3 linked regions of the Mus musculus genome follow. The protein of the gene in region 3 purifies or fractionates together with the protein of the main gene of each other region. This does not show direct contact. Links are inferred from orthologs where the notes say so. Each region holds a gene or a part of one and is shown on either strand. Other genes may lie near its edges.

Region 1 (3,649 bases), on a different chromosome or scaffold from region 3:
AATATAATGCACTCTCTGAGGAAGACGTGTTACCTTGGCAGACATGTTCTTAAGACGCTTAACTGGATATTGACCCTTTACCCTAGACTGCAGTATTAACTTTGTAGACAATAAACTAGAGGCTCTATGTGACTAGGTCCCAGTCTGCAGGCCTCAGCTCTGGGGAGTAAGTGACATAGTGGCCCTGCCCTCCATGCAGCTAGATGAAACTGTCCCATCTTGGGAACGAGTACTCACTGCTATCATAGATGGCGTCTGACACCACAGGCTCCAGTCTCCGAGTGAAGCTGCCAGTGCTGTCAGGGAGGAAGGCTGTGAACATGAGGCGCACCACGCTCAGGTCCATCTCCTTGGTCTGCTGCACGGCTGCCTGGCGGATGATCTCCTTCTCTCTGTCTAGGGTCACAGAGAACAGTCTGCTCATGCCCAGGCAGGTCAGAGTGTGAACATTTGACAGCAAATGGCCTCAAAGACCAATTCTTTTCCTCTAGAAACACTTCCTTAAAGTCTTTCTTGGCATATACTCAGTGCTCATCGGGATAACTCCCTGAAAACATTTTCATCCTAGAACAAGCACTGTGACCGTACCTAAGGCCCCTTCTCCCCTCCTCATATCCACTCGTCCCCTCCCTACCAACGGAGTACCTTCCTCTTACTTTCATATCCTATGCACGCATATGCAAAATATCTTATGTACATCTATATAAAACCTAGGATCTAGAACCGAGAGAGACGGTAGGTGATGTTCATCTTCTTTGTTCTGGCTTATTTCTCTTGATACAGAGATCTCCAGTTGCATACACTGCCCTGCAAATGTTTCTTTTCTTTTTCTTCCCTTCTTTTTTAAAAATAAAGATTTATTTTTATTTTATGTATGTGAGTAGACTATAGCTGTCTTCAGACACAAGAGAAGAGGGTATCGAGTTCCATGACAGATGGTTGTGAGCCACCATGTGGTTGCTGGGATTTGAACTCAGGACCTCTGGAAGAGCAGTCAGTGCTCTTAACTGCTGAGGCATCTCTCCAGCCCTTCTTTCTTTTTTCTTTTTTTTTTTTAATGGCTGAAAAAAAACTCCATTACTCATGTATATCATGCTTTCTTAATCCATCATCTGCTAATGGAGAGCTACGGTGGTTGTTTGATGTAGCTCTTGAATATGGCTGAAATAAACACATATGTGCAGGGAAATATGTATGTTATAGTACGTGGAGTTAGAGTTTTGTAAATATCCGCAGGAGTGGATAGCTGTGTCTATGCAGTTTTACTTCATGTTATTCTAAATCTCCATTTTGATTTTCTTATTTACATTCTTGCATTTGTTGGTCATAACACACGTGTGTTTAGGGTAGAGGACCACCTGAGGGGAGGGGTTCTCTCCTTCTACCATGTGGGTCCTGGAGACTGAATTCAGGGCAGCAGGCTTTGTATGGGTTACCTGCTAAGACATCTGCTACACACATCTGGGGACGACCTTGAACTCATCTGGGAGTGCAGCCGTTTGTAGGGAGTGCTGGGAATCAAACCCAGGACTTCTTACACAAGAGGTAAGTACTGTACCACCTGAGCTACTTGGCAGGCTCCTGGACTTGTTTTCTTAATGACTTCTGACCAGGGTGAGGTGGGACCTCAGAGGAACTTTAAAGACTAAGGGTGTGAAGCATGCTTTCACATTTGTTGGCTGTTTGCACTCATTGTTGGAGAACCCTCTCTTTCTTCTGAGCGCATTTATTTACTGGGTTGTTTGTTTCCAGAATTTAATTTTTTTTGAGTTTTTATAGAACCTAGATACTAATCTGTCAGCTACATAGCTAGCAACAATTCTTTCCCCCACTGAAGGCTGTCGTCTCTTCAACTCAGGAAACTGTTTCCTCTGCTGTGACGCCTTTGAATCTCAGTTGCTAGTTCTCCATTTTATTTCCTGAGTTGCTGGAGCCCTTTTCGGAAAGGGCTTGCCTACATCACGAAGCGTTTTCTGCATGTTTTCCTTTAGCTGTTTCAGACCATTACCTTTTCCATTAAGATCTCTGCTCCGTGTTGAATTGGTTGGTAGGGTAGGAGCCTGGGATCTGGTTCCCTTCCTTATATGTGCTAGCCGGTTCCCCACCGGCATCACTTCTTCTCCAGCCCGTCTTTTCTCTAATGCACATTTTGGCATCTTTCTCGGGTATCAGGTGGCTACATTGTGTTCCTTTCTGACTCTCCTCTTCTGCTGATTTACACGTCTGTTTTGACCCCACTTCCATGCTTTTTTTGTTACCATGGCTCTGTAGTGTGACCTGGAATCAGCAGCTATGATACCTCTGATATCAGCAGCTGTGATACCTCTGAAATATTCTTACTATCCTATAGCTTTGGCTACCTGAGACCTTTTGTCGTCCCAAGTGAACTTTATTTTCTAGGAGGAACGGTATTGGCATTGTGGATTGCATTCAATCTACAGACCACACTTGGCCATATTTTTGTGGTAGTAACTCTGTTAACTCCCAGGAACATGGGAGGCCTTTCCATCATTGATTGACATCTCTTTCTTCTTCCGTGTCTTAACATGTTCACTGTAAAGGACTTTTCACATGGTTAGTTTATTGCCAGGAGTTTTATTTGCTCATGTTGAAGCTATCGGGGATGCCTGTGACTGTGCTCGGCCGTCGCGTTTGCTGACTTCTTTCTCGACACACTCACTATCGATATAGGAAAACCACGGGGTCTGTGTGGTGATGACGCAGGCTGATCCTCAATCAGAGCTAAGCCTCTCCAGTGCAGCCCTGGGCTCTTGTGTGTGGGACAATATTGTCTGTGGATAGGGCTCTTTCATCTCTTCCTTTCCCGTTTGTATATTTTTCATTTCATTCTATTATTTTATTGGGAATGTATGAATCGGCTTATCCTTTCCTTCCTTTTCTCTTTTCTTTTCTTTTCTTTTCTTTTCTTTTCTTTTCTCTTCTTTTCTTTTCTTTTCTTCTTTTACCTGGTTTGGGTATAAAAGTAATGCTGGCTTTGGAAAATAAGTTTGTTGATATTCTTCCCCTTTCTACTTTATGGAACAGTTTAAGGAGGATTTACGTTATCTCTTCAAATATCTGACAGAATTCAGCCATGATTCCATTTAGGACCGGGTATTTTTCAGTTGGGAGATATTTTATTGCTTGTCTTAGGTCTGTGTAAGTTGTTTCTATCTTCTTAGTTTAACACTGGCAGGTCAGATGTACCTGTGAACTTACCCGTTTCTGTGAGATATTCTAATTTACTGTAATACATATTTTCAAAGCCCTAATGATTCTTTGGATTTGACCATTACCTCTGATAATGTTTCCCTGATTTTCACCTTTAATTTTAATAACTGAGTCTTCTTTTTTCTTTTGGTTACTTTGGCCTGAAATTCTTTAAACTGTTAGTAAAATTTTACACAATGGTCTTATTAAATTGCCTAAAAACCCATCAAAGGTAAGCTGCGTTTTCTCTGGAGTATTGTAAATATTGTCTTCTCCCATGCTCACCCATCTACTCTCCTACGCTTGCTAAGAGATAAGGCACACATAGAATGCGAGGAGTACAGGGAAATGCACGTCTCTGCACCGCCGGCTGCGCAGACATAGGTGAGAACAAGCATGCAGAGTCTTTGTGTGTGGGCTCCGCTTCTCCACGGTGCCC
Region 2 (2,818 bases), on a different chromosome or scaffold from region 3:
AATTAAAAATGGGCAGGCATGGCAAGCTGCAGTCCCCAGCTAAGTGCTGCTCCACCCTGCGCCAGCCCCACTCACGTGTCACCACAGCTGTGTGTCGGGATCCGCAGCTGGCCATAACTGCATCTGAGCCCAGGGGAAGATCCAGAAGAGCAGGGAAGGGCTGGATGGCTATGAAGTGGGCAGGAGCTCCTGCATCAGCCACAGCTAATTCCTCTTTGAGACCATCTTCATTCAATTCTGTGGCTTTAGAAGGCTTACAGTGTGTTTACTAGTCAGGGGCATGTGAACAGTCCGCATACTGACTTCCAGCTCTATAAAAGACCATTTTCTAGCTCCAGAGCTGGGGCCCAAGCCTTACTCACTCAGTCCTAGAGGCTGTGCAGGGCCAAAATCCCAGGATGATTCTCAGTGTCCAGCACACAGTAAATGAGCAGGGAAGGACATCCTAGAGGGGGACCTTACCTTCCTCTCTCTCTGCTTTGTTCTCTGTCCCACTCCTTGTGGGCAGGGCCAGCTGCCCTGACTCATTCCAGCCCCAGATATAAATATCCCCCGTTTCTGCAAGAGACCAAGAGAATCCATGAAGCACACTGTGGGACCCTTTCACCCACCCCACCTCCTCTAAACATCCCCATTACCTGTTCCTAGGAGCGAGTAAAGGGTACCCTAAAGCACCCGTCCATCAAGGATGCCCATACCAAGTCCCGCTGCTTCCCTGTCTTAGATCCCTGCCCATACACACCCCTTCTCCCCTTCCCCTTTTCCCAAACCTTACCATGTACCTCTCTGGCAGGCCTCAAAATCCCCAACCTTCCTGAATCCTGGCACTACAGGCACGAACTACCATGCCCAGCTTTTCTTTGGCTAACTCCAGGCTGAAGTTCTTTTGTCTCAGCCTTCCCACCAAGATGGACCCAATACACAAAAGCCCTAGGCCACACACTGTGGACCAAGGCACACCTCTCTGCCATCCACCATGGCTACCGGGGCATAGGCAGCCTTCTCCATTCTTCCTGGCTGAGCTGTCTCTTACCATTTCCCCTGCAGAAGTGTGCTGACCTTCGGGAGTATTTTAGATGGATGGGGGTAGTGAAGAGCTCAGTAACAAAGACAGGCAGTAACCAGATGAGTGGAGGTGTAAGAGGGTGGTGGAGTAACAGGCTAAATCTGGAAACACTGAAGACTCAGGGATGACTGAGCTGGACTGAGCGTGGAATGAGGCCTGGGCTAGACCGCCCACAAAAACAGAGCAAGAGGAAGGCGGGGCCAAGCCCTCCAGCTTGTTTGGAGCCGCCCCGAGTCACTCACCACTCAAACACACAGAGTGCCAGCCACCTGCAGCCACCTTAGCCATCCGCAGGCCCTGCAGTGCCTCCAACAGTCTTGGCTCTAGTTCTGCCTCCAGAGTCCCGTGGCCCAGCTGTCCATGCCTGATCAAAGGCGTCCCTAATCAGCTACAGGTCCATCCAAGAGAGCCTCTCCTTGAGCTCCGCCACGTCACAACCAGCCGGTCCTCACCTGCCCGCACCCCAGGAGAACACCTGGCCAGCTGCGCACAACAGCAGCACATGCTCAGCTCCCAGCTCCAGCTGGCGGACCCGCAGCTCTGGGGCCAGAGGCTGGCAGAAGGGTGGTTCTGGGGTCACATAGGCACGGGCGCAGGGTAGCAACGGCAGGGTCCCCATCCTAGACTCCCTGCTGGGTTCATCTTCCCCTTGGCCCTTTGCCCCAGAAACCAAGTTCTGGACCCAGAGGGGCTCCCCCTGTAACGCAGAACCTGGTACCCAGGCCTGCACTTCCGTGCTGGAGCCGCCCTTGTTGCGTAGCAGCACCAGGAGTTCCTCCGAAGCCCACACGTCCCTGCAGCCGTCTGCTGCACCGCTCACAGAACCTGACAATTCCACCCGGCCTCCACCTGTGTGGGCAGAGTTGGGAGGGACGCATGCCATGGACCTGGGAAGCTCGAGGCTGCCCGAGTAAGGGTGTACGGGTGTTGGGTATTTCTGGACTGGCATGTTAGGAGGGTTGGGCAGGTATACATGATACAGGTCTGGAGTTGGGATTGTGAGGGCACTCACGGGTCACCAGGGCAGTGTAGCTCCAGCCTGCGCTCACTTGGCAAATATCATCACTGGCATGCAGTGGTTCAGGACTGTACACTGAATGGTGGCTGTTCCCAGAACCCAGCGCTTGCCCGAAGCCACAGAAACCAAAGCCGAACCAGGCTCCGTGCCGTTTCTCGGCCATGTCCAGGTTGAGCCCTCTGTGGGTGGACACTTGGCTGTGGTGTGGATTAAGGGATGCAAGATTAAGGTTGCAAACCAAGGAGACTCTTGCAAACAGGACACCTTAGGAACGCTGGCAAATCCTGCCTTCCAGGGGGCTGAAGTTGCACTACCTGTAAAATAGAGACAGTATGCCATCCTAATCACCGGGCAAACGGAGTCCATCCCACTACTGTCCACGGAGCAGAGCTTTGGCCAAAGGTCCTACCAGATTTTTGACTGCTGAACTGTCTGCAGCTGACCACTTCTACTTTTGGCTCAAATCCAGCGTACAGCTGTAAGAAATATTAAGTATGTGTCTTTTAAGTCAAACTTGTATTCAAGGCAAGAAAAAAAATTTTTTTTAAGATTTATTATTTGGGGTTGGGGGGTGGGGTGGGGCTGGAGAGACATCTCAGCGGTTAAGAGCACTGACTGTTCTTCCAGAGGTCCTGAGTTCAATTCCCAGCAACCACATGGTGGCTCACAATCAATATGCAATGGGATCCAATGCCCTCTTCTGGTGTCTGAAGACAGTTACAGTGTACTCAAAC
Region 3 (4,349 bases):
AAATAAAAGCAAAAAAAAGTGGAGTACATTCAAATTAAGTACAACCATTATAATAGAAATTACATTCCTGCCCCCTCTCTGGCAATTTCTGCAAGCAAGAGATTACAGCACCTCATAGGTTCCTTAACACCTTCACCATTCCCAGGCCTTCTTAAGTTCCCACAAAGATACCCAAAATTTACTTTATGCTCTAGAGATGAACAATTACCATGCTTTCAAATTACTTTGTAAATACCCTCCCTGGAGCACTTCTGCTATAAGCACATGCTCTTAATCTCTGGGTTAAAGGCACTGAGCATTCAGGGAGAGAATTAAACAGGATCCACTCTGTACACTGGCCTGGAAGACTGAACTCCTAGGTATAGGCAAAACCGCTTAGCATCTTCCATGAGTAGTGCTGCTGCTGCTGCTGCTGCTGCTGCTGTTGCTGCTGCTGCTGGGGTTTTATGTTTGTGGTTAGGGCAGGGTTCGTCTAGCATCTCATCAGTGCTGTTAATTCTCAGGTCAGGAGTCTACCCAAACATTTCATTATGGAGATGTGACAGATTTAACTAAGAAGTATAAATGTTAAAGAAACCTAGTGAACAGACTGTTTTTAAAGTCATTTACTTAAATAAATATAAGCCGGACAGAGGTGGTGCATGCCTTTGATCCCAGCATTAGGTAGGCAGTGACAGGGGGATCTCTGTGAGTCCCAGGCCAGCCTGGTCTACAGAGCAAGCTCCAGGATAGCCAGCCAGGGCCACACACTGAAACCCTGTCTTGAAAAACCAAAATAAATGAACAAATAAAGAAAAATAAAGAAAACAAAGCCTAGCAGTTTTATTTTCTGATTCTGTAACCTGTAACAGCTGGTTTTCTTGGACTGTGTAACCTCGGCACTTCATCCTGTCCGCAGGCTAAGGCTGGAGGGAACATTTCCTTTTTTTTTTTAACCAGAGGTAATAGGTTACATTGAACTTGCTCCTAATCTGTGTATATTTGGCCCCACTCTCTTCCAACTGCATCCACATCATGACAAAAGTCTGTATCAGTGGCAAGTGGCACCCAAGTGGCACGCCACCTTAAAGGCCTTGATCTGTTTTATAAACCAAGAAACTAACGGGGCTGTGGCCTTGTCTTCTTTTCAACCCTCCCTCCGTGTTTATTTGTAAACATACTCTTGAAATAAAGTCAATTTTGTTTGGCAAATTCAATGCCTTTCTTTAAGATAGGTGGACTGCAAAATCTCAATTACAAAGCGCCACTATAATCATGACTTTAAAAAAAAAAAAAAAGAATCATTTACCTGAATGCAGAGGCACAAATAACAAAATAAACTGCCTATTTAATGCTAGGAACTGAGCTGCCAAACAAATGTCACATTCTTCTACCGCGTCATGTAGTTTTGAAAAACAACACGTGGTTCCTTCGATAATTAGTCTCCTTCAATCACCATGTATTTAGCTAGGTACAGTAGATGTCTGGCACAAAAACAAGGAGAGCATTTTGACTGCCGAAGAAAGGTTCTTCAGAAACAATGCCAGGGCGCTCAGCCTGCAGGCTAAAATCCTGAACTCGCTCAAAAAGCTAGAGGATCATTTACAGCCCAGGATCCAAAAAGGCTCACACACTCAGGTGACGAGTACAAAGGTCACCGCTCAGGTGTTCGAGCAAAGAGCCAGCCAAGTGCACTTAGAAACTGCAGGATGCAAAGCAAACGCAGACAGGACAAGTGTTGTAACACTCACCCACACCTTCTCAACCCCGCCCCCCAGTCTTTATAAATAGAGGAGGCTGTCAGGGAACTGTCCAAGGTTACCACCTGACACGAAGGAGGAACATTCCTCTGTGAGGAACATTAATAAAGTAAATGAATGTACTGTATGTACTTACTGGACTCTGCTAGTCGACTTCTAAGTGGTTGACTAAGTGTTAAAATTAAATGGAAAAAAAAAAAAAGGGTACATAGGTAGACTTCCTTCTCAAGAGGATCTAAATGTCAAGAAGAAACTGACCGAAAGAGGGAGATCTCTAACTTCCCAAAGCAGCAGCAGCCCCCCCTGGAAAGGTACCGAAGCCAGCGGAACTGACACGGGCAGGACAGCACTGCCCCTCCCCATGCTAAAAGTTTGAACCCGCACCCGACTATCCTACGGTGGTCGGAAACTTCCCTAAACAAGAAGCAACCAGACACCCTCAAGTCTCCGCCCTCGGGCAGTCCCAGGTGCCCTCAGATGCCAGAGTGTCGCTTCCTCCCCCGGCCTTCCTCCCACTTCACCCCTCTCCTGGACACTCGCTGGCCTGCCTAGGCTTCCAGCACCGGCCAGTGTCCCGGGGTCCCGAGACGCTGCGGAGCACTGTCCCGGGCCCTGGATTCGGGCCTGCCCTTCAGGAGTCCACCCTGGCGCGTTGGTGCGCCTGGCGCGCCCAGCGTCCCCAGCCCGGCTGCGACCCCCGCCCCCGCCGGCCCTCACCTCCTCGGCGTGCTTGCGCAGCGCCTTCTCCCGCTCGTACTGGGTGATGAGCTGCTCGTTGTCGTCCCGCAGCAGCTCCAGCTCCACCTGGTGCTCCTGGTCCTGCGCGAACACCGAGTCCAGGTTCTCCAGCACGGCCACCACCAGTGGCATCAGCTCCTTGACCACCTCCTCATCGTAGCGCCCGATGAGCCGCTCGAACTCGCGGTAGATGGAGCCGGCCAGGCCGGACACCCGCTCTGACATCACGGCCCCGGAGCCTCCGGGCTCCTCCTGGTATACCACACCGTCCTCCAGCTCCATGGTGGCGGGCGGGCGGGCGGCCCCGGGCGTCGCCGGCTGAGGGGTGGCACGGGCCCGCACGGGACGGGCCCGGCGGAGGCTGGGGCTGGGGCTGGGCCCCGCGGGGTGGGGGCCGGAGCCCTGGCCAAGGAGGGGAGGGGTGGGGTGAGCGCACTCGCCCCAACCGCCGCTGCACCAACTGCCGGGGCGGCCCGGCCGCGCGCGCTACGCGTCACCCGTGGGGCGGGGCCAGCGCCGCGTCGCCCCGGTGGGCGGGGCCCCGCGGGAGGCCAGGCGCGGACGAGGGGCGGGGCCTGGCGGCGGCGTGCGCCGGCTGTGACGCCAACACCCGGCGCCGCGCGCGCGCGGACCGAGAGGTGAGAGGTGGAGGAAGTGACAGCCGGAGGCTGCGTTGGCTGGGCGTTCCCAGAGGAAAGGGAGGGGCTCTGAAGACTGACAACTTTCCCCAGGAGGCTGCAAGCGTTTTCTTCGCCTTTTTACGGCTCATCCCGCGCCTTCTTGGTGCGCCAGACGTGTGGACCCTGCTTAACAGACAAAGAAACTAGGGCCAGGGAAGTTGCGGGTTAGTCAAGGTCATACCGCTAGAACAGGAAAGAGGCAGAGGCGAGACTCTCTCTACTTCCTACTGAGAATTCTGGACTCAAAGGAAAACAGTGGATGAGGGAAAAAGCTGTAACTAGAATGACTGCCTAGAGGATCAGGTTGCCTCGAGTACGATAGTACACTTTGATGTTAAGGAAGAGTAAGGATAGCCTTAACCAGAAGAGCGAAGCGTCTGGAGAAGGGAAAATGAGTACCACTTTTTGCATTTTGCCAAACACTGGGTCCCTCTGCTCCCTGCCTATGAGAAAGACAGTTCTAGGCTGCAGCCACTACCACCGGTCCCTCTCTGATCTTGAGAGGGAGGTGGGGCTGGGAAGTGAGAGAAGAAGCAGAGGAGGCTATGGGGTGGAGTCAGTGGTGGAATAAGTCCCATGATACATGAAGTCACCTATCTTGGGAGTGCGTCACTCGTGGGGAATGCCACAACACCCTAGCCTTGGGCAGGCTGAGTCAGAGATTACTTCCGTGTATTCTCATCTTCCAGTCTCAAGTTTGGCGGAAGACACTCGCAAAAGCCTCTTCCCTTTGCCATAGCTGACTCAGATACACCGACTCCGACTCATCTAAATATATGGGAAGAACAGAGAGGATTTAAATAGACAAGTTATTAGGGAGAAGACTGGCTACCTCCCGGAGTCCTAAATACCCTGTTTGGTGTTTAGAAGTTTCAGATCATCCCCAAAGTCTCCCACACTTCCATCTCCCTGGAAACCACCAAAAGCTCTGTGGAGGTTGACCCAGTGCAAAAGGACAAAGATGAAAACTGTCAAAACAATTTCCCGAACCCCTGCGCCACTACCCTTAGTTTGTGCTCTCCCTGTCTCCCTTCCTCACCCTTACTTTGTGTATATGTCTGGATTCTAGGAATGCTGCCCAGCTAGTTGAGTATGAGCTCAAAATGCCCTATCGATTTTTAAAAAGAACTTTATTGTTTTGTTTTGTGAACTAATGTTTTGCCTGTGTGCATGTCTGGGCACCAGTCCTGTG

Evidence for each region.
Region 1: the proteins of Spag9 (region 3) and Nfkb1 purify together in Homo sapiens (affinity purification with mass spectrometry; 5 studies listed by BioGRID and IntAct, with this or other methods). This does not show direct contact. The link is inferred for Mus musculus from reciprocal best matches to the Homo sapiens genes SPAG9 and NFKB1.
Region 2: the proteins of Spag9 (region 3) and Rccd1 purify together in Homo sapiens (affinity purification with mass spectrometry; 3 studies listed by BioGRID and IntAct, counting the BioPlex papers as one, with this or other methods). This does not show direct contact. The link is inferred for Mus musculus from reciprocal best matches to the Homo sapiens genes SPAG9 and RCCD1.

Annotation. Positions count from the first base shown.
Region 1 is NC_000069.6:135,615,035-135,618,683, forward strand, and holds part of Nfkb1 (nuclear factor NF-kappa-B p105 subunit), read right to left. Parts: intron 397-3,649; coding exon 238-396; intron 1-237.
Region 2 is NC_000073.6:80,318,784-80,321,601, forward strand, and holds part of Rccd1 (RCC1 domain-containing protein 1), read right to left. Parts: intron 2,561-2,818; 5' UTR 2,494-2,560; intron 2,399-2,493; 5' UTR 2,248-2,398; coding exon 2,079-2,247; intron 1,916-2,078; coding exon 1,519-1,915; intron 1,431-1,518; coding exon 1,309-1,430; intron 559-1,308; coding exon 463-558; intron 312-462; coding exon of another isoform or gene 244-311; coding exon 76-243; intron 1-75. UniProt on the Homo sapiens protein: Plays a role in transcriptional repression of satellite repeats, possibly by regulating H3K36 methylation levels in centromeric regions together with KDM8.
Region 3 is NC_000077.6:93,994,681-93,999,029, reverse strand, and holds the start of Spag9 (C-Jun-amino-terminal kinase-interacting protein 4), read right to left. Parts: upstream 2,940-4,349; 5' UTR 2,760-2,939; coding exon 2,457-2,759; intron 1-2,456. UniProt on the Homo sapiens protein: The JNK-interacting protein (JIP) group of scaffold proteins selectively mediates JNK signaling by aggregating specific components of the MAPK cascade to form a functional JNK signaling module.